3 linked regions of the Struthio camelus genome follow. The protein of the gene in region 1 binds, or shares a complex with, the protein of each later gene. Links are inferred from orthologs where the notes say so. Each region holds a gene or a part of one and is shown on either strand. Other genes may lie near its edges.

Region 1 (7,476 bases):
GCCCATTCCACGCTCTATGGGCTCATACAGGCCTGTGCCAGGCTCTACGGGCTCGTACAGGCTCATTCCAGGCTGGGTCCCTGAGGTGAGCAGGGCCCCAGACACCTCGATCCCTGAGGGAGCAGCGCCCCGGACGCCTGGGTCGCTGGGGTCCCCACCCCCAGGCTGGTGCATCCCATCCCCGTCTGGTTGCCCCCCGGGTGTGGTCTGTGAGGGGGTCCGCCCCCCCGAGGCAGGGACCAATGAGCAACGTCGCCCCCACGAGGTGCCCTGGTTGATCAGGCTGCAGCAGAGCAGGGCGTCGCAGCCAATGAGGCGCCGCCATCTTCGCCTAGCTCCTCTGATTGGGTGTTGCCATGTGACCGAGGTGAACGGCCTCTGCCCAGCTCGTGCCCCTGGCCGCGCTCTGGGACCCCCCCGCCCCCGGCAGCCAATAGGGCCGGCCCTGGGGCGTAGCCACGACAGCATTGGGGTGGGCGTGGCAAAGCCCGGCCCAGTACGACAGCCAATCAGAGTCGCCGCTGGAGAGGGTGTGTGGCCGGCGCGTAGCCACGCCCCTGTGCCGAGGGAGGGGTGGGTGGCCGCCGCGCGTGGCCCCGTTGCGCGGGATGATGGCGGCGGTGCGGGTGGCCAGGAGCGCGGCGCGGTGGCTGCGGGCGGGCGGCGGCGGCGGCGCAGCGCGGTGAGAGGCGGCGCCGGGACCCGGCACCGGGACCCGCCCCGACCCCGGGGACCCGCCTCTGCCCTCAGTCCCGGGCACCGGGGTCCAGCCTTGCCCCCTCAGCCCTGGTCTCTGTCCCCTTCTTCCCCCTTCCCTCAGTCCCCCATCCCTTGTGCCCTCCTCCCCTTGTCCCTCTGTCCCCTTGGTCCCCCTTTCCCCCATCCCTCTGTCCCCCCGTCCCCTTGTCCCTCCATCCCCCATCCCTCTGGCCCGCCATCCCCCCGGTCCCCTTGTCCCCCCATCCCTGCCCTCCACCCCTGCCACCCCCGCCTCACGTCCCCATCCCCTCCGTCCCCAGGCCCCCCTCACACGGGGCTGCCCCACGCTGGCTCCCCGCCCCAGGACATGTCCCTGTGTCCCTGCGCCAGGACACACGCAGCCACGGCCGGCCTGGCAGCACCCCGTGCTGCAGAGGGGGGTTGTTTACCCTGCCCCCCCCCCCCACCCCGTGGTTAATGTGTTACCAGCTGCCGTGCAGCGGGCCAAGGTCCGGCCGATGACACGGCATCCCCGAGGAGGCTGGCGCAGGGCAAGCCTCCCCTGCGTGCCACCGCCCCACCGTGGCCCCCCCCAGCGCTGCCTCCCCGAGCCTGCAGGCAGCCCGGCGGGTGCCACCGCCGGTGCCCCCGGTGTGGCGCAGGGGCCTACGCCCTCGCGTGATACCCAGGAGCCTCTGCCCTCGTGTGACACCCAGCCACGCTGCCACGAGTGTCCCTCGCCCTGGGGAGGCTCTTCCCCGTGGGTTGCCCGTGCCCTGAGTGCCTGGTGGGCTGCCCATGCCGGAGCGGGACGAAAGCGGGTGCCAGGGAGCCTCCTCCTTCACAGGGCCCCAGTGACACGTGTGCTAGTGGCACACGCGCGTCCTGGCTCCGACGGCAACATGCCACCAGCAGCCTCAGACAGGCCAAAAAAACCCAAAATCCAGCGCTGGGGGAGCTGCTCCCTGGTTCCGAGCGCAGCTCTCCTGCAAGGCTCTGGACAAGGCATTTTCGCGCCTCAGTTTCCCTCTTTGCAACACAAAACGAATGAAACCAGCCTCCCACAAAGCCCTGTGAGCCAGCCAGTGCTGTCTGTGAGCGGATGCTGCTGGCTGCCTGCAGACTCAGGAAGGCAGAACTGCAAGCAAAACTCCCTCCTCGTTCTTATCGTAACCGATGTCGCCCCCCAGGGTGACACCGGCGTCTCGCAGGGGCTACGCGGGGACGACCGAGGGCAGCTGGCTGCGCTCACTCTTCGTGCACAAGGTGGATCCCCGCAAGGATGCTCACTCCAACCTCCTGGCCAAGAAGGAGACCAGCAACCTCTACAAGATCCAGTGTGAGAGGCGCCGGGGGCAGGCAGGGCCAGGGGCACCTCGGCACAGCTCCGCGGCACCTCCGCACCCCGTTATTTGGCCGTTTGCCCCATTTCTGTCCCCAGCTCAGTGGCTGCTCTCCACTTGGGGCAGCTCCTCCCCGGGCCTCAGCTCCTGCTCTCACCCTCTCGCCCTCTCTCCCACAGTTCACAACGTGAAGCCCGAGTGTCTGGACACCTACAACAGCCTGACGTGAGCCTCCCGTGCGGGTCAGGGTCACCCAGCGTCCCTGCAGGGAGCACCCAGGGGGCTACTGAGGCTGGTGCAGGGCTGGGGGAGCTCACACCGAGCTGCTTCAGGAGCCCCCGGCAGGTTTCTTATTCTGGGCCTCAGTTTTCCTTCCTGTGAAATGGGTGCAGGGAGCTTCCCGCAGGGGTGAGGCCAGGTTGCGTTGGGATGCAGCCCCTGGCTGCCGCCTGCCATCTCCTGGGCGTCCCCTGGGGCACAAGGGTCCCCTGCAATCCCCCATGTCCCCGCAGGGAGGAGGCGCTGCCCAAGCTGCACGCGGACGCCGACTACCCCTGCACGCTGGTGGGCAGCTGGAACACGTGGTATGGCGAGCAGGACCAGGCAGGTCAGTGCGGCAGCATCCCTGCAGCGGGGGCACAGCAGCACTGGGGCCTCGGCGGCCTCCCGCCCTCAGGGAAGGGCCGTGTGGGCAAGGGAGGGTACAATTTTGGGGGGGAAAGTGGCAAAACAGAGCTTTGAGAGGGTGCTGCTGGGAGCTATGCACGGCTCTGTCCTGGTATCACCCGGCCGCCCGGGAGCGAGTGCTGGCGGGTCCCTGGGCTCGGTGGCACCCCATAGGTGCCTTGTCCTTGCAGTGCACCTCTGGCGCTTCTCCGGCGGGTACCCGGCACTCACCGAGTGCATGAACAAGCTGAAGCAGAACCAGGTAGCACTCAGGGCGGCACCGTGCCGGGGTGGGGGGGACACTGGCGTGTCCCTGGGCATCCCCATGGCCATCCGGGCTCCCCGCAGGAGTACGAGGCCTTCCGGCGCGAGCGTAGCAAGCTGCTGCTGGCCCGTCGCAACCAGCTGCTGCTCGAGTTCAGCTTCTGGAACGAGCCCCTGCCCCGGCCTGGGCCCCACGTCTACGAGCTGAGGACCTACAAACTCAAGGCGAGTGGCCCCACGCGGTGCCGGGGGCAGGGGTGCAGGGAGCCACCCGCTCAAACGTTGCTGGTTTGCTTCTCCCTTTCCAGCCGGGGACCATGATCGAGTGGGGCAATAACTGGTAAGGAGACAGCCTGGTCTCTGCCTCAGTTTCCCCCCTGCCCCAGGCACTGCCTCAGTTTCCCAGCTGGTCCCGTCCTTGGGGGCCGTCCTCCACTCCCTCGTTCCCTGCACAGTCCCTGGGGCTGTGGACAGAGGAGGAGGAGGAGGAGGAAGAGGAAGGCTTCTGGCACCCCACAGCAGTTCTTTCCCCCCACCCCGGCCAGGGCTCGGGCCATTAAGTACCGGCAGGAGAACCAGGAGGCCGTGGGTGGCTTTTTCTCCCAGATCGGCGAGCTCTACGTTGTGCACCACCTCTGGGGTAAGTGGGCACCCAGGGGCACCCGTGGGTGCTGGGTGCTTCTGCGCCAGTGTGAGATGCTCTGTGTTGTTGCCCCCCCCAACCTCGCTCCCTGCAGCATACCGGGACCTGCAGTCACGCGAGGAGACGAGGAACGCGGCATGGCGCAAGAGTGGCTGGGATGAGAACGTCTACTACACGGGTGAGCGTGGCGGCAGGGGCACCCATGGGTGCTCAGTGTCAGGGGTCACCCGCGGTGACGTCCCCCCGCCGCCACTGGCTTTGCAGTGCCGCTGATCCGCAGCATGGAGTCGCGCATCATGATCCCCCTGCGCATCTCGCCCCTGCAGTGAGCCGGCACCTCAGCACCGTGTCGCCTTCCGTGCCCCTGGGGCACGCCGGGGTCCCCGCAGGGCACCCAGATCCCCTACCTGCCCTGAGCACCTACTTGGGGTAGCCCATGGGGATGGGAGCTGGGGGCGCCCCTGCTTTCCTCTGGGGGCTCGGCACCATGTCACCTCCTGTCCCCCTTGTCCTGATCGTCCCCCAAGGCTCACTGGGGCAGGGCCAGGGTCCCGCGTGGCACCCAGCTCCCCTCGTCCCCGGAGCACCCATTGGGGACCCCTTGCAGGGACAGAGCCAGGGACACACCTCAGGGTCAGGAGCTGGGGACACCCCCCATGGGGGACGGGAGCCAGGGACACCCCACAGGGGACAGGAGCTGGGGATCCGCCATGGGGACGGGCCCTGGGGACACCGCATGCAGGACAGGAGCCGGGGACACCCCATGGGTGCTCCCACTCTGGGGTCTCCCCCCTGCAGGGTGTCCCTGGCACCCACCGCTGTCCCTGGGGTGGGAGCACCCATCTCTGCGACCCCAGGAGGTGACAGTGGTGTCAGGAGGTGACAGCAGTGGCCATGCACTGCCAGTCCTCTGCTCCCGCTGCTGCTGGGAGCCCCAAGTTCTTTGGAGGACAGTGTTAATTAGCACTAATGAGCCCCGGGCCATGGCCGGGCCCCGGGGGCTGCACCCATTAAACATTCGATGTGCCCATGGGTGGCCCTGTCTGCGAGTGGGGGGCCGGGGTGCGTCCCAGGGGGGTCAGCAGTGACGAGTCCCACCGGGGCCGCTCCCATGCGCACAGGTGTCCCCTGCACCACTGGGGACCCCCCACCCTGTGGTCCTCAACCTCAACAAGGTGCACCTTCATGCCCGTAGGTGCCCCCCATGCCGATGGGTGCCCTTCCTACACCAGGGCCCCCCTCCCATGTCTGTGGGTGTCCCCCAATGCCAATGTGCCCCCCACCCCAAGGAGCCTCCCAGTGGCCATGGATGCCCCCATACATCAAACCCCCCCTATGCCCATGGGTGCCCCCCAAAGCCAATGGGAGTCACCATGCCCAAGGGTGTCCCCCTGCACAAAGGCCCCTCCCATGCACTTGGGTGTCCGTCATTGCTAATGGGCCTCCCCCCACCCCAGGGAGCGCCCTGATGCCCATGGGTGCCCCCCATTCACAAGGCCCCCCCATGCCCATTTGTGTCCCCCAGTGCCAAGGGGGACCCTCACTCCAAGGGCCCCCCCATGCCCAAGGGTGCCCTCACCCACCAGTGGACCCCTATACACCAAGGGGTGCCCCCCAATGCCAAGGGGGACCCCCACCCATGCCTGTGGGTGTCCCCCATACATCAGGGCCCCCCTCATGCCCATAGGGACTCCCAAAGCCAATGGGACCCCTACCCCAAGGAGCCCCCATGCCCATGGGTGCCCCCCACACACACCAAGAGGACCCCCATGTCTAAGGGGCTCCCCTGCACCAAGAGGCCCCTAATGAGCCCCCTCAGCTCCCCGCCTCAAATCCGCTGGTGCCTCCAAGGGGCACCGACCTCCGGGGCTGGAGGTGGGGCGACTATAAGCCCCGCCCCTTTGGGCCAGACCCGCCCCTCGGCCGGGCCCCGCCCCCCTCGGCCCGCGCTCCTCCCGGCGGGCCTTGCCCGCTAGAGGGCGCCTCTGGCGGCTGCCGCTCTGCGCCGCGCTCGTCTGCTCCGTGACGTCACATCCGGGCGGCGCTGAGAGGGGCTGACCGGTGAGCGCGGGGGGCCGCGGCCGAGCGGGTCTGCGGCGGGAGGGGGCTTCGCCGGGGGCAGCTGGGGCGGGGGAGTGTTGGCGAGCCGGGCCTGGGCCCGGTCAGTTGGGGGGGAGGCGCTGAGGCCCGGCGGGGGAGGTCCTGGGGGACCCAGTGCGCTGGAGACCGAGGGGGACCTAGGGCCTGGTGGGCAGTCCTCCGTGAGTTGGGGGCTGGGTTGGGGCAGGGAGGAAGCTGCGAGGCTCCGTGATTTCGGGGTCCAGCAGGGGCCCAGGAGAGCTGCGGCAGGGGGGAGCCCGAGGCCCAGCGGGGTGGGGAACAGGGGACCGGGAGAGCTGGGGTGGGCGGGAGGCCACGGGGCCTGCTGAGTTGGAGGCTGTGAGGGAGCCAGGGCTCGGTAGGTTGAGGGCTGGGAAAGCCAAGGAGAACTGCAGTTGGGGGTGAGAGGCTGTGGGGATCAGTGGGTTGGGTGTCTGGAAGAGTTGGCAGGGGGGAGGCCCTTGTGCCTGGTGGGTTGGGGGATGGCAGTGGGCCAGGAGAGTTGGGGTAGAGGGCAGACCCTGGAGCTCAGCAGGTTGGGGGTCTGGTGGGGGGCAGACACCAGGGCGCGGTGGGTTGTAGAGCTGGAAGAGGGCAGAGCCTGGTGCCTAGCCTGTCGTGGGGCAGGGGGAGGGCCTAATTTATCGGAGATTGTCAGAGTTTGAGATGGGCCTGGCAGACAGGAGCCTGGGGGGCCCCATTCTGGGTGCCTCTGTCCCTCTTCACATGCTCACTTGGTTCTTTGTCCCCCAGCCCTGCCAGGCAGCTCCCGGCAGCACCATGTCATCAGATTCCAGCAAGAAGAGGAAGCCCAAAGTTATCCGCACCGATGGGGGCCCACAGGAGGGCAAGCGGGGCAAGGCCGACGCTGACCAGGTGGGGTGCCCCGCAGCCTCTCCTGGCGCCCCATGCGGGGAGGAGCTGCCTGCTTTCGCAAGGTGCTCCTGTCCTGCTGCATTATGAGAAGCTGATACCAAAACTTCCTTTTATTGGCCTCATTCCCCCACTCAGGCAGCTTGAGTGGGGTCAGAACCAGCCAAATCTGAACACCTGCAAGACTCCCACTCTCAGTTTCTGAGCGGGTTTTCTCCTCCTGGAGGAAACGCAATTCCCATGGAGTCAAATGTTGCCTTTTGGGACATAACAGGCAAGTCTGAGGCTGTCAGGTGTTTCAGGGATTTGCAGGTTGCCTTAAAACACTCCCACAAAGATCAGAATAACTTAGTTTTAGTCAAAGTGGAATTTAAGGTTGAAGAAGTAGGTGTGCAGCCTTGATAACAATCTGCGCTGGTGCAGGACAGATACTGGTCTTAATTTACAGTGATGATATAAGAGGCCTAAACTTTCCAGGCATTTGTGCCCCGGGTGGTTAAACGAGTCACTCTCCGCTGCGCAAGCCCCCTCGAGTGTGGGATGACTGGGCTGAGGCAGTGCTCAAGATCTGGTGGTTTATGTCCAGGGCACTTTAGGAGGTGTTTTTACCCCTTGCAGGATGCTCGGTACTACAGTGAGGAGGGTGAGGTGGATCTGCGTGACCCCATCAAAGACTACGAGCTCTACAAAGAGACCTGCCAGGAGCTGCAGAGACTCATGGCAGAAATCCAGGAGCTGAAGAGCAGAGGCATTAAGGACAACGTAAGGAGGAGCTGCAGTGCTTTTTCTGCATGTGCTTTCCTGTGATGTTTCTTCCTGACCCAAGAGGAGCAGGAGCCACACGGCATTCTGGGGAGAATTAGGAAAATGGGACAGTCTCTGTTAAAT
Region 2 (7,810 bases), on another chromosome or scaffold:
GCCCTGCCCACGTCGGTTCTTTGGAAGCGCCTGCCTGGGGGTGTGCTCCGCGGAGAGCACCGGCACTCCTGGGCCTGGGGCCTGGGGAAACGTCGTGCCTCGCTGCGGGAAACCCGAGTGCTGCACAGGTGAACTGCCCCTACCATCTCCAGCCCGTGGCTGCTGCTGCATCCCAGGGGAAGCGTTTCTGCCATGTCACTGCAGCGAAGAATGAGATCTGCTCTTCAGGAACAAGGCAAACACTGCTCTGACCTAGAGGACTCCCTGGTGTCAAGGCAATCCCTGAGCTCTGCTGGCTTGCTATAAAATGATTTAAATGCTCTCATGAAATAACTGGAGCTGCTTTCCCTATTGTTTCAGCATCCCCCGCCTCTCTCACCCCCATCCTTCCTCCACTTGGGACTTCAGAGGCTCCTATCTAGGCCAGTACTGGCCCTGACCCTCTCCAGCTCCCAGACAGCCTGGGGCTGTGTCAGTTTTGGTAACCTCTGTGAACAGAAGGCAGGGGCAGAAGCAGGATTGTCCTGGACTGTAGGGGAAATTGCTTCCTCTTTTTTGGGCACGGTACGCAGAGAATAGCCTTGGGGCTGGGCAGACCCCAGGGAGCATCAACCCAGCCCCAGGGCACCGTAGCTGAGGGAAAACATACATTTGGATTTTCATCAGCAGCATGTAGGTGTCCTTCAGGATCTCTCCCTGGTGGGATTTCAACAGGATCTGTCTAATCAAGTAGGACACGATGTCTTTAGGAGGGCAGTGCTGGCAGGAGACGAACTCACTCAGGAAATGCAATGTGCCCTCGAGGAAGTTCTCCTCAATGGTGGTGTGTACCATGCTCAGCTTCCCGCTGGGGATGAGCTCGGGTTTCCGCTGCTGCGTGCAAGGCAAGGCAATGGGTGAAAGGCGGCTCCCCATGGCCTGTGCGTACCTTGTATCTGCTGTGCACCCTCGCCCGCGATGCCCTCGCCCCGCACCCTAATGGCACGCGGTGTGCACAGTGCTGGGCAGCGCCCTGCTCCGGGGCTGCCTCACAGCACTGATGCCTTCGCAGGTAAGTCACAGCTGCCCTCCAGTTGTGATGCGTGTCCCACCGTTAAGGGAACTGCAGTAACCAGAGATCCCAACCGCCCACCAAAGCTTTCCCCCAAACAGGAAGCAGAGCAGGGGCTGCCCCTGCTTCCTGCTCTACCTCTCCCCCTCTGCGGGACCCGTCACCGAGCAGACTCCAGCTGGGCCTGGCAGCAGCTGCTCTGAACCCCGTTTACCTGCAGCGTTTCCCTGTCGGGTGCTATGTCTTGGAGGAAGAGGTGATGGACACCAGTCCTCCTGAAATACTGCAGTTTGTTCAGCCAGGCCTTGTTGTCAGCCCTGGTCCTGGCTGGGGCCACTTTCTGCATTGCTACACGCGGCGGCAGGTCTCTTGCTTCCAACAAAGGCCTTTTGGCTCCTGCCGGGGATGAAGCAACGCTGGCTGGCGTGGGGCTCAGGCCTGGGGGGAGCTCCCTTTGCTGGCAATTGGGGGGAGTCTCTTCCTCCGCGCCAGAGGCTCTCCAGCTGCAGCTGCTGTCCAGGCTGGAGGGGGACAGGGAGAGCTGGTCAGAGTCCAGCTGCATGCTGGCCAGGGAGCCCAAGTCACTGTTAAAAGTGGTGGTGCTGCAGTTCTGCCCAGGGCTGCGCGAAGAGCCTTGGCAGCTGGAGGCGGGAGAGAAGCCCCCTCTGCTCCCTGCACTTTCCGCTGAGTCCAAGGCGGGAAGGGGCTCTGCGGGGGCGCCATGGGAGGGCACTGCAGGGCTGGGCTCCACCGTCACCTCCCTTTCTTGCTTGGTGGGGAAGCAGAGCCTGGGCGGGGAGGCGCGTGCTGCCCGGGAAGCACAGCCTGCGGCGTCGTCGGGAGGGCTGCATGGGTCCTCCTCCTCCGTCAGGTCGATGATGGTGAGGCTGGGGCGTGGTGCTGGCTCTGCGCTCGTCTCCTCGCAGGTCAGGTCGATGATCTCCTGTGGGGACAGAGGGGTCAGCGCTGTCTGCAATGGAGGCGCCCGGCTGCCTTGGGCCTGCCCTGCCAGGAGCCTCCGGTGCGTTGGCACTGCCCTGGCCCTCCCCGGCCCACGAGAGGGAAGATGGAGGGGAAGGGGCTGATCTGCACCCAGTGCAGGAAGAGAAACCAGGAGCAAAGACCCTGCTGCCTGGCGGAGGGGACGGGGTGGGCTGCGAGGTGGCAACCCCGAGCTCTGGTGTCAGCCTCCCCCAGCAGCACGGCTGGGCCCGGGCTTGGCCTGGGCCTCTCATCCCCGCTGCTGCCGGTGACAAGCCCTGCTCACCCGGGGGTGCCTTACGGCTGCGTCCTCTGCTTCAAAACAAAAACAATCCCCAAAAGCCTGGCGTGCAGCCTGGGGCCCTGGCTATGCTTGGCCCGAAGAGGCTCTGCCGAGCCTGGGGAGCCGGGGGACCGTCCCTTACAGTCTGCTCTGCCGAGCCTGGCCCACTCTAGTGGGTTTCTCCAGTGCCAGGAACAGCCACTGCTGCTGCGTTTGGCTGCAGAGCAAGGGGAGTTTGGGTTGTTCCCCCCTGCCCCCGTGCAGCTGCAGGGCAGACGGGAAGCAGCCGGAGCGGGCACAGGCGCTAGCTGTTCCCCGCTCGCTCCCCTAACAGGCTGGCTGACCTCGGCTCCCCCAGCCCACCCGCAGCGGGAAGCTTTGCCTCCACACCTCCGTCCTGGGGCCACGCAGCGCCGGGGTGGAGAGCTCTGCCCCTTCGTGGATCTGAACCTCAGCGTCCCCTGCGCTCTCCCCATAACGCTCGCTATCCCAGTCCCGCAGGAGGGGGCTGCAGCTGCGCGACAGAACAAGGAAGGCTTCGGCGGTCGGTCCCACGGAAGAGCTGTCCCAAGCGTGGGATGACGGTGACGTCCAGTGCCCCAGTGGGTCCCTCCCCGGCAGCAGGAGTTTCCGCAGGAGCCAAACGAGCTGCGCCGAGCTCCTTGGCAGGGCACGGCACCACAGCTCCCCCAGGCCGTGATACAGCACGTGCCAGAGATGTCTGCAAGCCCCCCCAGCATCCCCCTGCGGCACAGCCTCACCCGCTACGCGGACACAAGTGGAAGGGAATAGAGCTACCTTCACGTCCATGACACCAGACCAGATCTAGAGCAGCACAGAGACTTTGGGGGCTTCCCATCCAGGACTCGCCGGGCGATGCAGCCTCTTTAACCCCGAGCTCCAAAGATGTGCATCTACAAGGGGCCGCAGGAGCAGGCAGGGGGAGCACATCTGTGTCCGCACCAGGGGCAGGCAGGACACAGCACGTCTCAGAAGGTGCATGGGATCATTACATGCCCAGCAGGGGTCAGGGTCTTTTTGCTCTTGGAAAAAAATCACAGCGTCTCAAAACAGGAAAATGTTTTGAGAACATCTTCAAGAAAATCCATTTAAATCCATTTTGTTTTCCCTGACTCAGACCCGCTGCCTTTCCCAAGTTGGGGGCTGCATTTACTGTGGGGAGGTGACAAAACCCAACAGGCTTTGCTCGTTCAGGAAAAACAGCGGGACCAAACAAGCGTGGCGCTCGCCCGAGCCGCAGCCCCGCCGGGCAGCCCCGCCGCGCACCGCGGCCGCCCGGAACTGCCGGCGTTTGAAAGCTGCATCAGAACCGGCGCCAACGGCTTCCAGCCTGGGGGCCGCCGGGCCGGCCTGGGCGGGAGATGGCCTCTCCCCCCGCGCCGCCGCCACGCGGGCTCGTCCTCTGCCCTGCCGGCGGGGCCGTGCGGGTGAGCTGGCCCCCGGCCGCCTCCACCACCCCCCGGGGCTGGGCGCCGGAGACGTGCGGCTGGGGGAGGCTGAGGTGGGCCGGGAGGACCCCGGGGCGCTCGGGGGGCTGGAGGCCGTGGGGGGCTGCGCAGGCTGGGCTGTCTGGGCCTCTCCTCAGTCAGGCCACGCTCTGCGCGGGGGGCGCGACGGAGACGCGGCCTCGCTCACGGGCCACGCGGCTGCCCGGGGCACGAGGGTCTGGCAGCCGGGACCCTCCTGGGGGCGGGAGGCCATGGTGGGCTGGGATGTCTGGGGGGATGTGGCAAGGGGACCGGGAGCCTCCTGAGGGGACATGGCTGAGGGGGACTGGGAGCCTCCTGGGGGCCTGTGGGTGAGGGGGGCTAGGACCCTCCTGGGGTGCTGGGGATGAGAGGGGCTGGGACCCTCCTGGGGTGCGGGGGCTGAGAGGGGCCGGGACCCTCCTGGGGGGCTGGGGGTGAGGGGGGCCGGGACCCTCCCGGGGGGGCTGAGACCCCCCCGGGGGAACGTGCCTGGGGGGGCTGGGACCCTTCTAGAGGACGTGGCCGGGGGGCCGAGGCTCTCCCGGGGGGACACGGCTGGGCGGGCTGGGACCCGGGGGGGGGGGGGGGCGGCGGCTCAGGGCCGGTGTCCGTTGGGCGCCGCGGCCGCCCCGGCTCAGCGCCGCGCGCCCGCCGCGGCGCCCCGAGGCTTTCTGTCCCCGCGCGGCACCCGTCCCTGTCCGCGCCTCCCGCCGGGGCGGAAGCGCCGCCATGTTTGTGAGGGGCAAGCTGCGCCCCGCCCCGCCCCGTCCCGCCCCGCCCTCACGGCGCAGCGGGAGGCGCCGCCCGCCGCCGCCACCGCCCGTTCCCCGGGGGCCGGTGACTCACCGCGGGGGGCGGTGGGGGGCGCCGCGGCACCTGGCGGCGACGGCGACGGCGGTGGCGGGGCGGCGAGCGGCCGCTGCCCTCGGAGCCCGAGTCGCTTATGAGGATGACGCTGTCGGCCATCTTCCCTGCGGGCGGCGGCGGCTCCGCCCCCTGCGGGCCGGGCCGGGCGGAAGCTGCGTCACGCGCGGCGGCGGCGGGAGGACGGGTGCCGCGGCGGCGGCGGGGCCATGGCGCTGTCGCCCTACGTGCTGGCCATGCAGGAGCTCTTCCGCGCCAACACGCGGAGCCGCGAGTTCCCGGCGCACGGCGCCAAGGTGCACTCGGTGGCCTGGAGCTGCTGCGGCCGCCGCCTCGCCTCCGGCTCCTTCGACAAGACCGCCAGCGTCTTCGTGCTGGAGAAGGACCGGCTGGTGAGCGGGCCGGGCCGGGCCGGGGGCGGCGGCGCTGGGGAGCGGGCCGGGCCCGCCGGAGGCCGCGGGTTGTCCGCCTGCCCCCGGCCCACCGCCGCCCTCTGCCTCTAGGTGAAAGAGAACAACTACCGCGGCCACGGCGACAGCGTGGATCAGCTCTGCTGGCACCCCAGCAACCCCGACCTCTTCGTCACGGCCTCCGGCGACAAAACCATCCGCATCTGGGACGTCCGCACCACCAAGTGCATTGCCACCGTCAACACCAAAGGTGGGCCCCCGGCAGGACCTTGCCGCCGTGGGCCGGTTTCCTGGGGGTGGTGGGGATCGGGGCACCTCTGCTGATTGCTTTTGTCTTTGCCTTGTGCTCATCTAGCTCTAGCAGGTATACGGAGCAGCACAGCACACGAGGGCTGACTTATGTTGGTGACAGGACTGGAGAAACCGCTGATATATGATGCTGGTTGTTAAAATGTCTTGTGTACTTGCTTCCGGAGTCTATGGGGTGCAAGGAAAGGCATGTTTTCAGAGACCTATGGTGAGACTAAAAGTTTAGCTGGATTCAGGAAGCAGTTAATCATATTCATGGACTGATTAACACAGATACCATCTCCGGCTGAGGAAAGCTCCAATTTCAAATTGATGGGTCTGGGAACAGCATTACAAGATGGTATAGCTGCAAATTGCCTTGTTCTTACCCTCATTTGTATGTGCTTGTGGTTGGCTGCTACTTCTTCTGGATTTGAAGGTCACTCGGTTAAGAGGCTCTTTGATTTGATCTTGCTTGGTCATCTCTGTGGTCACATCTTGGCTAAACTGGGAAGGGGAGTGGTGCAATGCTGTTGGTTTGAAGCTGTGGTTCTGTTAAGTTTAGTTTTCATTAACTCTATGTTATCTCTTAGCCGGCTACTGAGTGGGATGTGTATGTTGAACTGCAGATTTGTCCTAGATTTAGGAGCAGTTCCGAGTTAGTGGAGCAGACTACGGGCTTGAGTCAGGAAAAAAAAAAAGCTACCTGTCTGCTTAACTGATTGTGGTCCTATGGATTGGTGGGTGTAAATGGGACCTGTTGCCCTTTCTTCCCTCTAGGGGAGAACATAAACATCTGTTGGAGTCCTGATGGCCAGACCATTGCAGTAGGGAACAAGGATGACGTTGTCACCTTCATTGATGCCAAGACACATCGCTCCAAAGCTGAGGAGCAGTTCAAGTTTGAGGTGAATGAGATCTCCTGGAACAATGACAACAACATGTTCTTCCTCACTAATGGGAACGGCTGCATCAATATTCTCAGGTAGGTGCCTGTGGCAGCAGGCAGGGTGGGTAGGTGGACTGGTTGCCTTGATGCATCTCTGTCAGCCGAGGTAGACGTCGGTCTGCAAGTCCCTTTGCTGCTTGCAGGGGCCGAGGTCCTGTATCCCAGTGTTTCCCAGTCCTGAGGTGGGAACAAAGTTGCCTAGAGTTGAGGTTGCCCCAGTTCTGGGCTGGGCTTCTTGAGGAGTGACCCAGGTGCTTTGCCTCATTCATCCAGCACTCAAGGTTTCCAGTTTGGTTGGCTCACCATCCCAGTGCACCTTATGCCTCATCTTGTAAACAAGCCCTCTGCTCCTTTCAGTGCTTCCTGCTCTTTCCCTTCGTCTCCACAGCTACCCAGAGCTGAAACCCATTCAGTCCATCAACGCCCATCCTTCAAACTGCATCTGCATCAAGTTTGATCCCATGGGGAAGTACTTTGCCACAGGCAGTGCCGATGCACTCGTGAGCCTCTGGGATGTGGATGAGTTGGTGTGTGTGAGGTGCTTCTCAAGGTAGGTAGTCCTGTCCTGAACCTTTTTCTCTTCTCTCTCTGGTGACCCTGTGGGAGATGGCTCACTCTCTGCTTGGACTTGCTGTTGCAGGCTTGACTGGCCTGTGCGAACGCTGAGCTTTAGCCATGATGGGAAGATGCTGGCGTCGGCATCAGAAGATCACTTCATTGACATTGCGGAAGTGGAGACAGGTAATGGTTCCCCGTCAAGGAAATAGCAAGGAGGGAATTGGACAGAGATGTGCTGGTGGAGCTGGGAGGGCCCTGGGAGATTCAGTCTGCTTGCAAAGAGCTTGGTTGTGCGCAGCAGATTGCCATGAGGGGGAGCCTCTGCCTAGTTGGTCTGTTTTTAGATATGGGTTGTGTCTGTGTCTTGTCTTCAGTTGATTAAAGCACTGAAGCAGCACTAATTCTTCCTCTGCCCCACACGGGAGGGAGGAGGGGGGTGCTTGGCTCTGGTGTGTGCTATGGGGCAGTGCGCAATGCAGGGCCAGAGGCTCTCCAGCCTGACTTGGCCCCTCTTCTGTGCAGGAGAGAAGCTTTGGGAGGTGCAGTGCGAGTCCCCCACCTTCACAGTGGCCTGGCACCCGAAGAGGCCTCTGCTGGCCTTCGCCTGTGACGACAAAGATGGCAAATATGACAGCAGCCGGGAGGCGGGCACTGTCAAGCTCTTCGGGCTCCCCAATGACTCCTAGTGGAACTGCAACAGGCAGCAGGGTAGACCACCAGGAGAGGCAACACTTCCCTGCTGTCGGGGATGGGAGAACGCTTGGTTAACCTAGGATGGGGGAAGGAGATCAGTCCCCTCCGTACCTGCTTGGCAGTATGGTGATCCTTGGCTCAGCTCTGTGCATCCTGCTCTTGGGAGCCTTTGTAAAAAGCAGCCTGTGTGCTGGTGAGGACGGTGGGGGATGCTCGCAGAGCCCCCCTGCTGGTCTCCAGGGA
Region 3 (7,871 bases), on another chromosome or scaffold:
GGTCTAGGTGTCTGGGGGGGTGGGGGGCTGAGGGAGCCCCCACATGGGGGTCTGGGGGAGCCATGGGGCTGGGAAACCCCCACCATGGGGGTCAGGGGGTTCGTAGCCCCCTTTCTGCGGCCCTGACCCCGCTCTGCCCCACGGCTGGGGGGGGGGGTCTGCAGCCCTGACCCCGCTCTGCCCCACGGCGCGGGGGGGGGGTCTGCAGCCCTCACCCTGCTCTGCCCCACGGCGCGGGGGGGGGGGGTCTGCAGCCCTGACCCTGCTCTGCCCCACGGCGCGGGGGGGGGGGGGGTCTGCGGCCCTGACCCTGCTCTGCCCCACAGCGTGGGGGGGGGGGGTCTGCGGCCCTGACCCTGCTCTGCCCCACGGCGTGGGGGGGGGGGGTCTGCGGCCCTGACCCCGCTCTGCCCCACGGCGCGGGGGGGGGGTCTGCGGCCCTGACCCCGCTCTGCCCCACGGCGCGGGGGGGGGGGTCTGCGGCCCTGACCCCGCTCTGCCCCACGGCGCGGGGGGGGGTCTGCGGCCCTGACCCCGCTCTGCCCCACGGCGCAGGGGGGCCGGCGCTGGACCCGGTGCTCTGGGAGTACAAGTGGGAGAGCGGCAGCGGCGCCCCCCTCTACGGCCCCTTCAGCAGCGCCCAGATGCAGGTGCGACCCACGGCCGGGGGGCTGGGACCCACGGCCGGGGGGCTGGGGGGCTGCAACCCACAGCTAGGGGTCTGGGGCTTATGGCTGGGGGGCTGCGACCCACAGCGGGGGGGGGCTGGGCCCCACGGCCGGGGGCACCGGGGGGGCTGGGCCCCAGGGCTGGGGGCTCCGCAGCGGCGTTGGGGGGCTGCACCCCCCATCCGGGGGTGCCGGGGAGCCCCCAGCGCCCCCCAGCGCCCCCCCGGTCCTGCCCCCCCAGGAGTGGGCGGCCCAGGGCTATTTCCGCCCGGGCGTTTATTGCCGCAAGGTGCAGTCGCCGGCCGGCGCCTTCTACCGCTCCGAGCGCATCGACTTCCAGCTGTACGTCTGAGCGCCGCAACACCCGCCGCGACACCGGGAGCGCCCCCGCAACACCCGCCGGGAACACCGGGAGCGCCCCCCGCAACACCCGCCGGGAACACCGGGAGCGCCCCCGCAACACCCACGGGAACACCGGGAGGGCCCCCCGCAACACCCGCCGCGACACCGGGAGCGCCCCCCGCAACACCCGCCGGGAACACCGGGAGCGCCCCCGCAACACCCGCCGGGAACACCGGGAGCTCCCCCCGCAACACCCACGGGAACACCGGGAGCGCCCCCCGCAACACCCACGGGAACACTGGGAGCGCCCCCCGCAACACCCGCCGCAACACTGGGAGCGCCCCCCGCAACACCCGCCGGGAACACCGGGAGCGCCCCCCGCAACACCCGCCGGGAACACCGGGAGCGCCCCCGCAACACCCGCCGGGAACACCGGGAGCTCCCCCCGCAACACCCGCCGCAACACCGGGAGCGCCCCCCGCAACACCCGCCGGGAACACCGGGAGCGCCCCCCGCAACACCTGCTGGGAACACCAGGAATGTCCCCCGCAACACCCGCCGGGAACACCGGGAGCGCTGCCGGAACACTTGCCAGGAACAGCCGCTGGGACTACCGGGAACACCCGGAATGCTGGGAGTGCTGCCGCAACACCCGCTGGGAACACCCAGCAGAACAGCCATTGGGAACAGCCGCCACAACACCCAACAGGAACACCAGGAGCACTGCTGGGAAGCCCGGGAACAGCGCGCCGGGGGTCGCGGGGGGGTCGCGTCTCCTTGGTTCGTTTTCTGTTTTTTTCCCCATTAAAACCCGTCTGCTCCCGGCTCCGGTCTCTTCCCCCCCCCCCCCCCACCGGCCGGGAGGGGGCCCAGGCGTCCGGGCTGCCCCCCGGGGCGGCCTCGTCCCCCCGGCACGGTGGGGAAGAGCCGGGCGGCCCGGACGCCTGGGCCCCTCGCGCCCCCCCGCTCCCTGCCGGCCCCACAGCCGCACGCTCAGCGCTCAGGGGGAGTCGTCTTTAATGGGGGGCTGGGGGGGCCCGGACGCCTGGGCCCCGCGCAGGGCTGAGCTGGGGGGCCCGGACGCCTGGGCCCCGCCGGTGGCGCCGCCTCCCGGGGTCGTCGCGGCCTCGGGCGCCGTCTGGGGCAGCTGCCGGCGTCAGGGCGCGGGGGGCCTGGGGGGCGGGGGGCTGCGCCGGGGGTCTCCTGCCCCACGGCCCCCAAACACCCCCCTTCCTGCCTCACAGCCCCCCCCTGCTGCCCCCTCCTGCCCCATGGCCCCCAAACACCCCCCTTCCTGCCTCACAGCCCCCCCCCGCTGCCCCTTCCTGCCCCACAGCCCCCCCCCACTGCCCCCTCCTGCCCCACGGCCCCCAAACACCCCCCCCCGCTGCCCCACGGCCCCCCCCGCTGCCCCTTCCTGCCCCACAGCCCCCCCCACTGCCCCCTCCTGCCCCACGGCCCCCAAACACCCCCCCTTCCTGCCCCACGGCCCCCCCCGCTGCCCCTTCCTGCCCCACAGCCCCCCCCTGCTGCCCCCTCCTGCCCCACGGCCCCCAAACACCCCCCTTCCTGCCTCACAGCCCCCCCCGCTGCCCCCTCCTGCCCCACGGCCCCCAAACACCCCCCCCGCTGCCCCACGGCCCCCCGCTGCCCCCTCCTGCCCCACGGCCCCCCCCGCGGCCCCCTCCTGCCCCACGGCCCCCAAACACCCCCCTTCCTGCCCCACAGCCCCCCCCGCGGCCCCCTCCTGCCCCACGGCCCCCAAACACCCCCCTTCCTGCCCCACAGCCCCCCCCCGCTGCCCCCTCCTGCCCCACGGCCCCCAAACACCCCCCCTTCCTGCCCCACGGCCCCCCCCGCTGCCCCTTCCTGCCCCACAGCCCCCCCCCACTGCCCCCTCCTGCCCCACGGCCCCCAAACACCCCCCCTTCCTGCCCCACAGCCCCCCACTGCCCCCAGCCCCCCGGGGCGGGTACCTGGCGCCGTGGGGCAGCCCGTTCCCGCTGTAGCCGTGGTCGTGGTGGAGGCCGAGGGCCCGGAGCCGGGCGGCCGCCAGCGCCTCCGACAGCGCCAGCTTGGGGGCCGGCTCCCTGCGGGCAGCGCCGCTCCCAGCATGCCCCGGGGCAGCACCCTGCTCCCAGCATGCCCCGGGGCAGGGCTCGCCCCCTCCCAGCATGCCCCAGGGCAGCACCCTGCTCCCAGCATGCCCCAGGGCATGGCTCCCCCCCTCCCAGCATGCCCTGGGGCAGGGCTCCCCCCTCCCAGCATGCCCTGGGACAGCACTCCCAGCATGCCCTGGTGCAGGGCTCCCCCCTCCCAGCATGCCTCGGGGCAGGGCTCCCTCCCTCCCAGCATGCCCTGGGACAGTGTCCCCGCTCCCAGCATGCCCTGGGGCAGGGCTCCACCTCCCAACATGCCTCGGGGCAGCACCCCCTGCTCCCAGCATGCCCCAGGGCAGCACCCCCACTCCCAGCATGCCCTGGGGCAGGGCTCCCCCCTCCCAGCATGCCCCGGGGCAGCACCCCCTGCTCCCAGCATGCCCCAGGGCAGCACCCCCACTCCCAGCATGCCCTGGGGCAGGGCTCCACCTCCCAGCATGCCCCAGGGCAGCACCCCCGCTCCCAGCATGCCCTGGAGCAGGGCTCCACCTCCCAGCATGCCCCGGGGCAGCACCCCCCACTCCCAGCATGCCCCAGGGCAGCACCCCCGCTCCCAGCATGCCCCGGGGCAGGGCTCCACCTCCCAGCATGCCCCGGGGCAGCACCCCCCACTCCCAGCATGCCCCAGGGCAGCACCCCCACTCCCAGCATGCCCCGGGGCAGGGCTCCCAGCATGCCCTGCTCCGTACTGACCAGTCGCAGGCGTCGGGGCGGCGCTTGAGCCCGGGGCCGGGGGGCCGGGGGCCACTGAGGGGAGAGATCCCATCATGCCCTGCTCCCCCTCTCCCATCAGCCCCTGCTCCCCCCTCCCAGCATGCCCCTGCTCCCCCTCTCCCATCAGCCCCTGCTCCCCCTCTCCCATCATGCCCTGCTCCCCCTCTCCCATCAGCCCCTGCTCCCCCTCTCCCATCATGCCCTGCTCCCCCCTCCCATCAGCCCCTGCTCCCCCTCTCCCATCATGCCCTGCTCCCCCCTCCCATCAGCCCCTGCTCCCCCTCCCCCATCAGCCCCTGCTCTCTCCCATCAGCCCCTGCTCCCCCTCTCCCATCAGCCCCTGCTCCCCCCTCCCATCATGCCCTGCTCCATCAGCCCCTGCTCCCCCTCCCATCATGCTCTGCTCCTCTCCCATCAGCCCCTGCTCCCCCCTCCCATCTTGCTCTGCTCCCCTCCCATCAGCCCCTGCTCCTTCTCTCCCATCAGCCCCTGCTCTCTCCCATCATGCCCTGCTCCCTCTCCCATCATGCCCTGCTCCCCCATCAGCCCCCGCTCACCCTGGGGCCGGGGCGGCGGCGGGGCCCAGGCGTCCGGGCGCCCCCGGGGTCGCGGGGTCGGAGGTCACCGGCCCGGCCTGCTCCCCGCGGGGGGGCTCCATCCGCGCCGCATCACCCGCGGGCCAGCGGCTCCCATCAGCCCGCGCGGCGCCTCCCGGCAGCCCCTGAGCGCGTCTCGCCCAATGGCGGCTCCCGTGCCGGCCCGGTCGCTCCCATGATGCACCGCGAGTGGGGGGGGCGCTCCGCGCATGCGCGGCGGCCGTTGAGGCAGCGGGAAGGGGAGGGAGCGCTCCGCGCATGCGCAGCCGCGGGCAGCGGGCGGGCTGCGCGCGCAGCCGCGCCCACGTGACCCTCCCCCATCGCCGCCGCCGGACTACGGCTCCCGGCGTGCCCCGCGCGGCAGGGGCGGGCGCGGTGACGTCGGCGCGACGGCGACGGCGGCCGCGCGCACGAGGGGCAGCGCGACAGCGGCGGCGATGGCGCCCGCGGAGGTAGCGGGGCCGGGGGGGGGCCGGGAGGGGTGGGGGCCTTCCCGGCATGCCCCGGGCGGGGTCACGCCCACGGGGGGGCTCCCGGCGTGCCGTGGGGCGGGGTCACGCCAATCGGGGGGGCTCCCAGCATGCCCTGGGGCGGGGTCACGCCCAGGTGGGGGCTCCCAGCATGCCGTGGGGCGGGGTCACGCCCAGGTGGGGGCTCCCAGCAGGCTGTGGGGCGGGGTCACGCCCAGGTGGGGGCTCCCAGCAGGCCGTGGGGCGGGGTCACGCCCAGGTGGGGGCTCCCAGCAGGCTGTGGGGCGGGGTCACGCCCAGGTGGGGGCTCCCAGCAGGCCCTGGGGCCGACGCCATGCTCCTTTCCCAGCATGCTGTGGGGCGGGGGCTCCCAGCAGGCCCCGGGGCCGACGCCATGCTCCTTTCCCAGCATGCTGTGGGGCGGGGGCTCCCAGCAGGCCCCGGGGCCGACGCCATGCTCCTTTCCCAGCAGGCTGTGGGGCGGGGGCTCCCAGCAGGCCCCGGGGCCGACGCCATGCTCCTTTCCCAGCATGCTGTGGGGCGGGGGCTCCCAGCAGGCCCCGGGGCCGACGCCATGCTCCTTTCCCAGCAGGCTGTGGGGCGGGGGCTCCCAGCAGGCCCCGGGGCCGACGCCATGCTCCTTTCCCAGCAGGCTGTGGGGCGGGGGCTCCCAGCAGGCCCCGGGGCCGACGCCATGCTCCTTTCCCAGCAGGCTGTGGGGCGGGGGCTCCCAGCAGGCCCCGGGGCCGACGCCATGCTCCTTTCCCAGCAGGCCGTGCGGCGCGCGCTGGAGCTGCTGCACATGAGCGTCTTCTCGCAGAGCGTCTCCCCCTGCGGCCGCTACCTGGCGGCCGGCAACAACTACGGCGAGATCGCCATCTTCAGGTAGCCCCGCCCCCTGCTGCCGGCCCCGCCCACCACTGCCGGCCCCGCCCCCCCGCCGGCCCCGCCCACCACTGCCGGCCCCGCCTCCCGCCGGCCCCGCCCACCGCCCTCTCCTCCCCCCGCAGCCTCTCAGCCGCCCTCAGCTCCGAGGCCAAGGAGGAGAGCAAGAAGCCCGTGGTCTCCTTCGCGGGTAGGTGCCCCCTGTCCCAGCATGCCGTGCGCCTGCTGCCGTCCCAGCATGCCGTGGGCCTGGCGTGTCCCAGAACGCCCTGCGCCTGGGCCCTCCCAGCACGCCGCGGGCAGTCGGCGTCCCAGCATGCCGTGGGCCTGCCGGTGTCCCAGAATGCTGTGGGCCTGTGAGTGTCCCAGCATGCCCTGGGCCTGTGGGTGTCCCAGAATGCCATGGGTCTGGCATGTCCCAGCATGCCCTGGGCCTGTGGGTGTCCCAGCATGCCCTGGGCCCGGCATGTCCCAGCATGCCCTGGGCCCGGGCCCTCCCAGCATGCCCTGGGTCTGGCGTGTCCCAGCATGCCCTGGGCCCGGGCCATCCCAGCATGCCCTGGGCCCGGCGTGTCCCAGCATGCTCTGGGTCTGGCATGTCCCAGCATGCCCTGGGCCCGGGCCATCCCAGCATGCCGTGGGCCCGGCATGTCCCAGCATGCTCTGGGTCTGGCATGTCCCAGCATGCCCTGGGCCCGGCGTGTCCCAGCATGCCCTGGGCCAAGGCCCTCCCAGCATGCCCTGGGCCCGGCGTGTCCCAGCATGCCCTGGGCCCGGCGTGTCCCAGCATGCCCTGGGTCTGGCATGTCCCAGCATGCCCTGGGCCCGGCGTGTCCCAGCATGCCCTGGGCCAAGGCCCTCCCAGCATGCCCTGGGTCTGGCATGTCCCAGCATGCCCTGGGCCCGGCGTGTCCCAGCATGCCCTGGGCCCGGGCCCTCCCAGCATGCCCTGGGTCTGGCATGTCCCAGCATGCCCTGGGCCCGGCGTGTCCCAGCATGCCCTGGGCCCGGGCCCTCCCAGCATGCCCTGGGTCTGGCGTGTCCCAGCATGCCCTGGGCCGAGGCCCTCCCAGCATGCCCTGGGTCCCAGCACGCCTGGCCGCCGCCCGCAGCCCACGACGGCCCCGTCTACGCCCTGGTCTCGACGGAGCGGCAGCTGCTCAGCGCCAGCGACGGGGAGATCAAGGCCTGGAACTGGGCCGAGATCGTCAAGAAGGTGAGGGCGGGGCCCGGACGCCTGGGTCCCTCTCGGACGCCTGGGTCCCTCTCGGACGCCGGGGCCCCTTCCCGGACGCCTGGGTCCGCCCCGGACACCTGGGTCCCTGCTGGACGCCTGGGTCCCTTCCCAGACACCTGGGCCCCTCCTGGATGCCTGGGCCCTTCTCGGACACCTGGGCCCTTCTCGGACACCTGGGCCCTTCCCCGGACACCTGGGTCCCTCTCAGACACCTGGGTCCCTCCCCGGACAGCTGGGTTCCTCCCGGACACCTGGGCCCCTCCCCGGACGCCTGGGCCCCTCTCCGGACACCTGGGTTCCTCCCGGATGCCTGGGCCCTTCTCAGACACCTGGGCCCTTCCCCGGACACCTGGGTCCCTCCCAGACGCCAGGGCCCCTCCCTGGACGCCTGGGCCCCTTCCTTGGACATCTGGGTCCCTTCCCGGACACCTGGGCCCCTCCCCGGACGCCGGGGCCCCTCCCCAGACAGCTGGGCCCCTCCCAGATGCCTGGGCCCCCCCGGACACCTGAGTCCCCCCGGACCCCTGAGCCCCTCCCGGACGCCTGGGCCCCTCCCAGATGCCCGGCCCCCCCCCGGATGCCGGGGCCCCTCGCTCACCCCTCTCTCCCCAGGGCTGCAAGGAGGCCTGGAGCCGCCGCCCCCCCTGCAGGTGAGTCCCCCCCCGCACCCCCCCCAGCGCCGGGTGCCCGGACGCCTGGGTCCCCGACGCCTGTGCGCCCCGCGCAGGAGCAGCCTGGAGGTGCCCGAGATCAACAGCCTGCAGCTGAACACCAAGGTGGGTCCCGGCCCCGGGGGGCTG

The links. Proteins that work in one complex are often made in the same cells at the same time.
Region 2: THOC5 (region 1) and THOC3 share a complex: the UniProt entries of both Homo sapiens proteins name them as parts of the transcription/export (TREX) complex. The link is inferred for Struthio camelus from reciprocal best matches to the Homo sapiens genes THOC5 and THOC3.
Region 3: the proteins of THOC5 (region 1) and THOC6 are in contact, whole or in part, in a cryo-EM structure (PDB 7APK), measured with the Homo sapiens proteins. The link is inferred for Struthio camelus from reciprocal best matches to the Homo sapiens genes THOC5 and THOC6. Residues at the interface, in NP_001002877.1 of Homo sapiens: Pro406, Gly407, Asp538, Ile539, Val540, Asp541, Ala542, Gly543, Leu544, Ser575, Ile576, Ser593, Asp596, Arg599, Glu602, Gly603, Asn606, Val607, Tyr609, Arg660, Phe662, Arg663, Gly664, Pro665, Ser666, Arg667; in NP_001334633.1 of Homo sapiens: Val5, Pro6, Ala8, Val9, Pro10, Leu11, Gly12, Gln13, Val16, Phe17, Leu20, Gln21, Leu23, His24, Met25, Thr26, Phe28, Tyr45, Tyr80, Asp94, Glu125, Val126, Pro127, Glu128, Asn130, Gly146, Tyr170, His172, Glu188, Trp222.

Annotation. Positions count from the first base shown.
Region 1 is NC_090958.1:5,142,789-5,150,264, forward strand, and holds the start of THOC5 (THO complex subunit 5 homolog), read left to right. Parts: upstream 1-4,469; 5' UTR 4,470-5,676; intron 5,677-6,468; 5' UTR 6,469-6,495; coding exon 6,496-6,591; intron 6,592-7,206; coding exon 7,207-7,350; intron 7,351-7,476. Other genes in the region: NIPSNAP1 (protein NipSnap homolog 1), read left to right, coding at 609-682, 1,890-2,038, 2,222-2,267, 2,555-2,649, 2,900-2,970, 3,057-3,197, 3,281-3,312, 3,518-3,612 and 2 more. UniProt on the Homo sapiens protein: Component of the THO subcomplex of the TREX complex which is thought to couple mRNA transcription, processing and nuclear export, and which specifically associates with spliced mRNA and not with unspliced pre-mRNA.
Region 2 is NC_090954.1:10,106,958-10,114,767, forward strand, and holds the start of THOC3 (THO complex subunit 3), read left to right. Parts: upstream 1-4,801; 5' UTR 4,802-4,878; coding exon 4,879-5,061; intron 5,062-5,172; coding exon 5,173-5,329; intron 5,330-6,147; coding exon 6,148-6,352; intron 6,353-6,704; coding exon 6,705-6,866; intron 6,867-6,956; coding exon 6,957-7,057; intron 7,058-7,396; coding exon 7,397-7,560; 3' UTR 7,561-7,810. Other genes in the region: SIMC1 (SUMO-interacting motif-containing protein 1), read right to left, coding at 650-873, 1,266-1,994, 2,706-3,125. UniProt on the Homo sapiens protein: Component of the THO subcomplex of the TREX complex which is thought to couple mRNA transcription, processing and nuclear export, and which specifically associates with spliced mRNA and not with unspliced pre-mRNA.
Region 3 is NC_090973.1:146,372-154,242, reverse strand, and holds the start of THOC6 (THO complex subunit 6 homolog), read left to right. Parts: upstream 1-4,862; 5' UTR 4,863-4,916; coding exon 4,917-4,931; intron 4,932-5,658; coding exon 5,659-5,834; intron 5,835-5,959; coding exon 5,960-6,024; intron 6,025-6,907; coding exon 6,908-7,050; intron 7,051-7,683; coding exon 7,684-7,721; intron 7,722-7,798; coding exon 7,799-7,847; intron 7,848-7,871. Other genes in the region: CD2BP2 (CD2 antigen cytoplasmic tail-binding protein 2), read left to right, coding at 556-650, 910-1,020. UniProt on the Homo sapiens protein: Component of the THO subcomplex of the TREX complex which is thought to couple mRNA transcription, processing and nuclear export, and which specifically associates with spliced mRNA and not with unspliced pre-mRNA.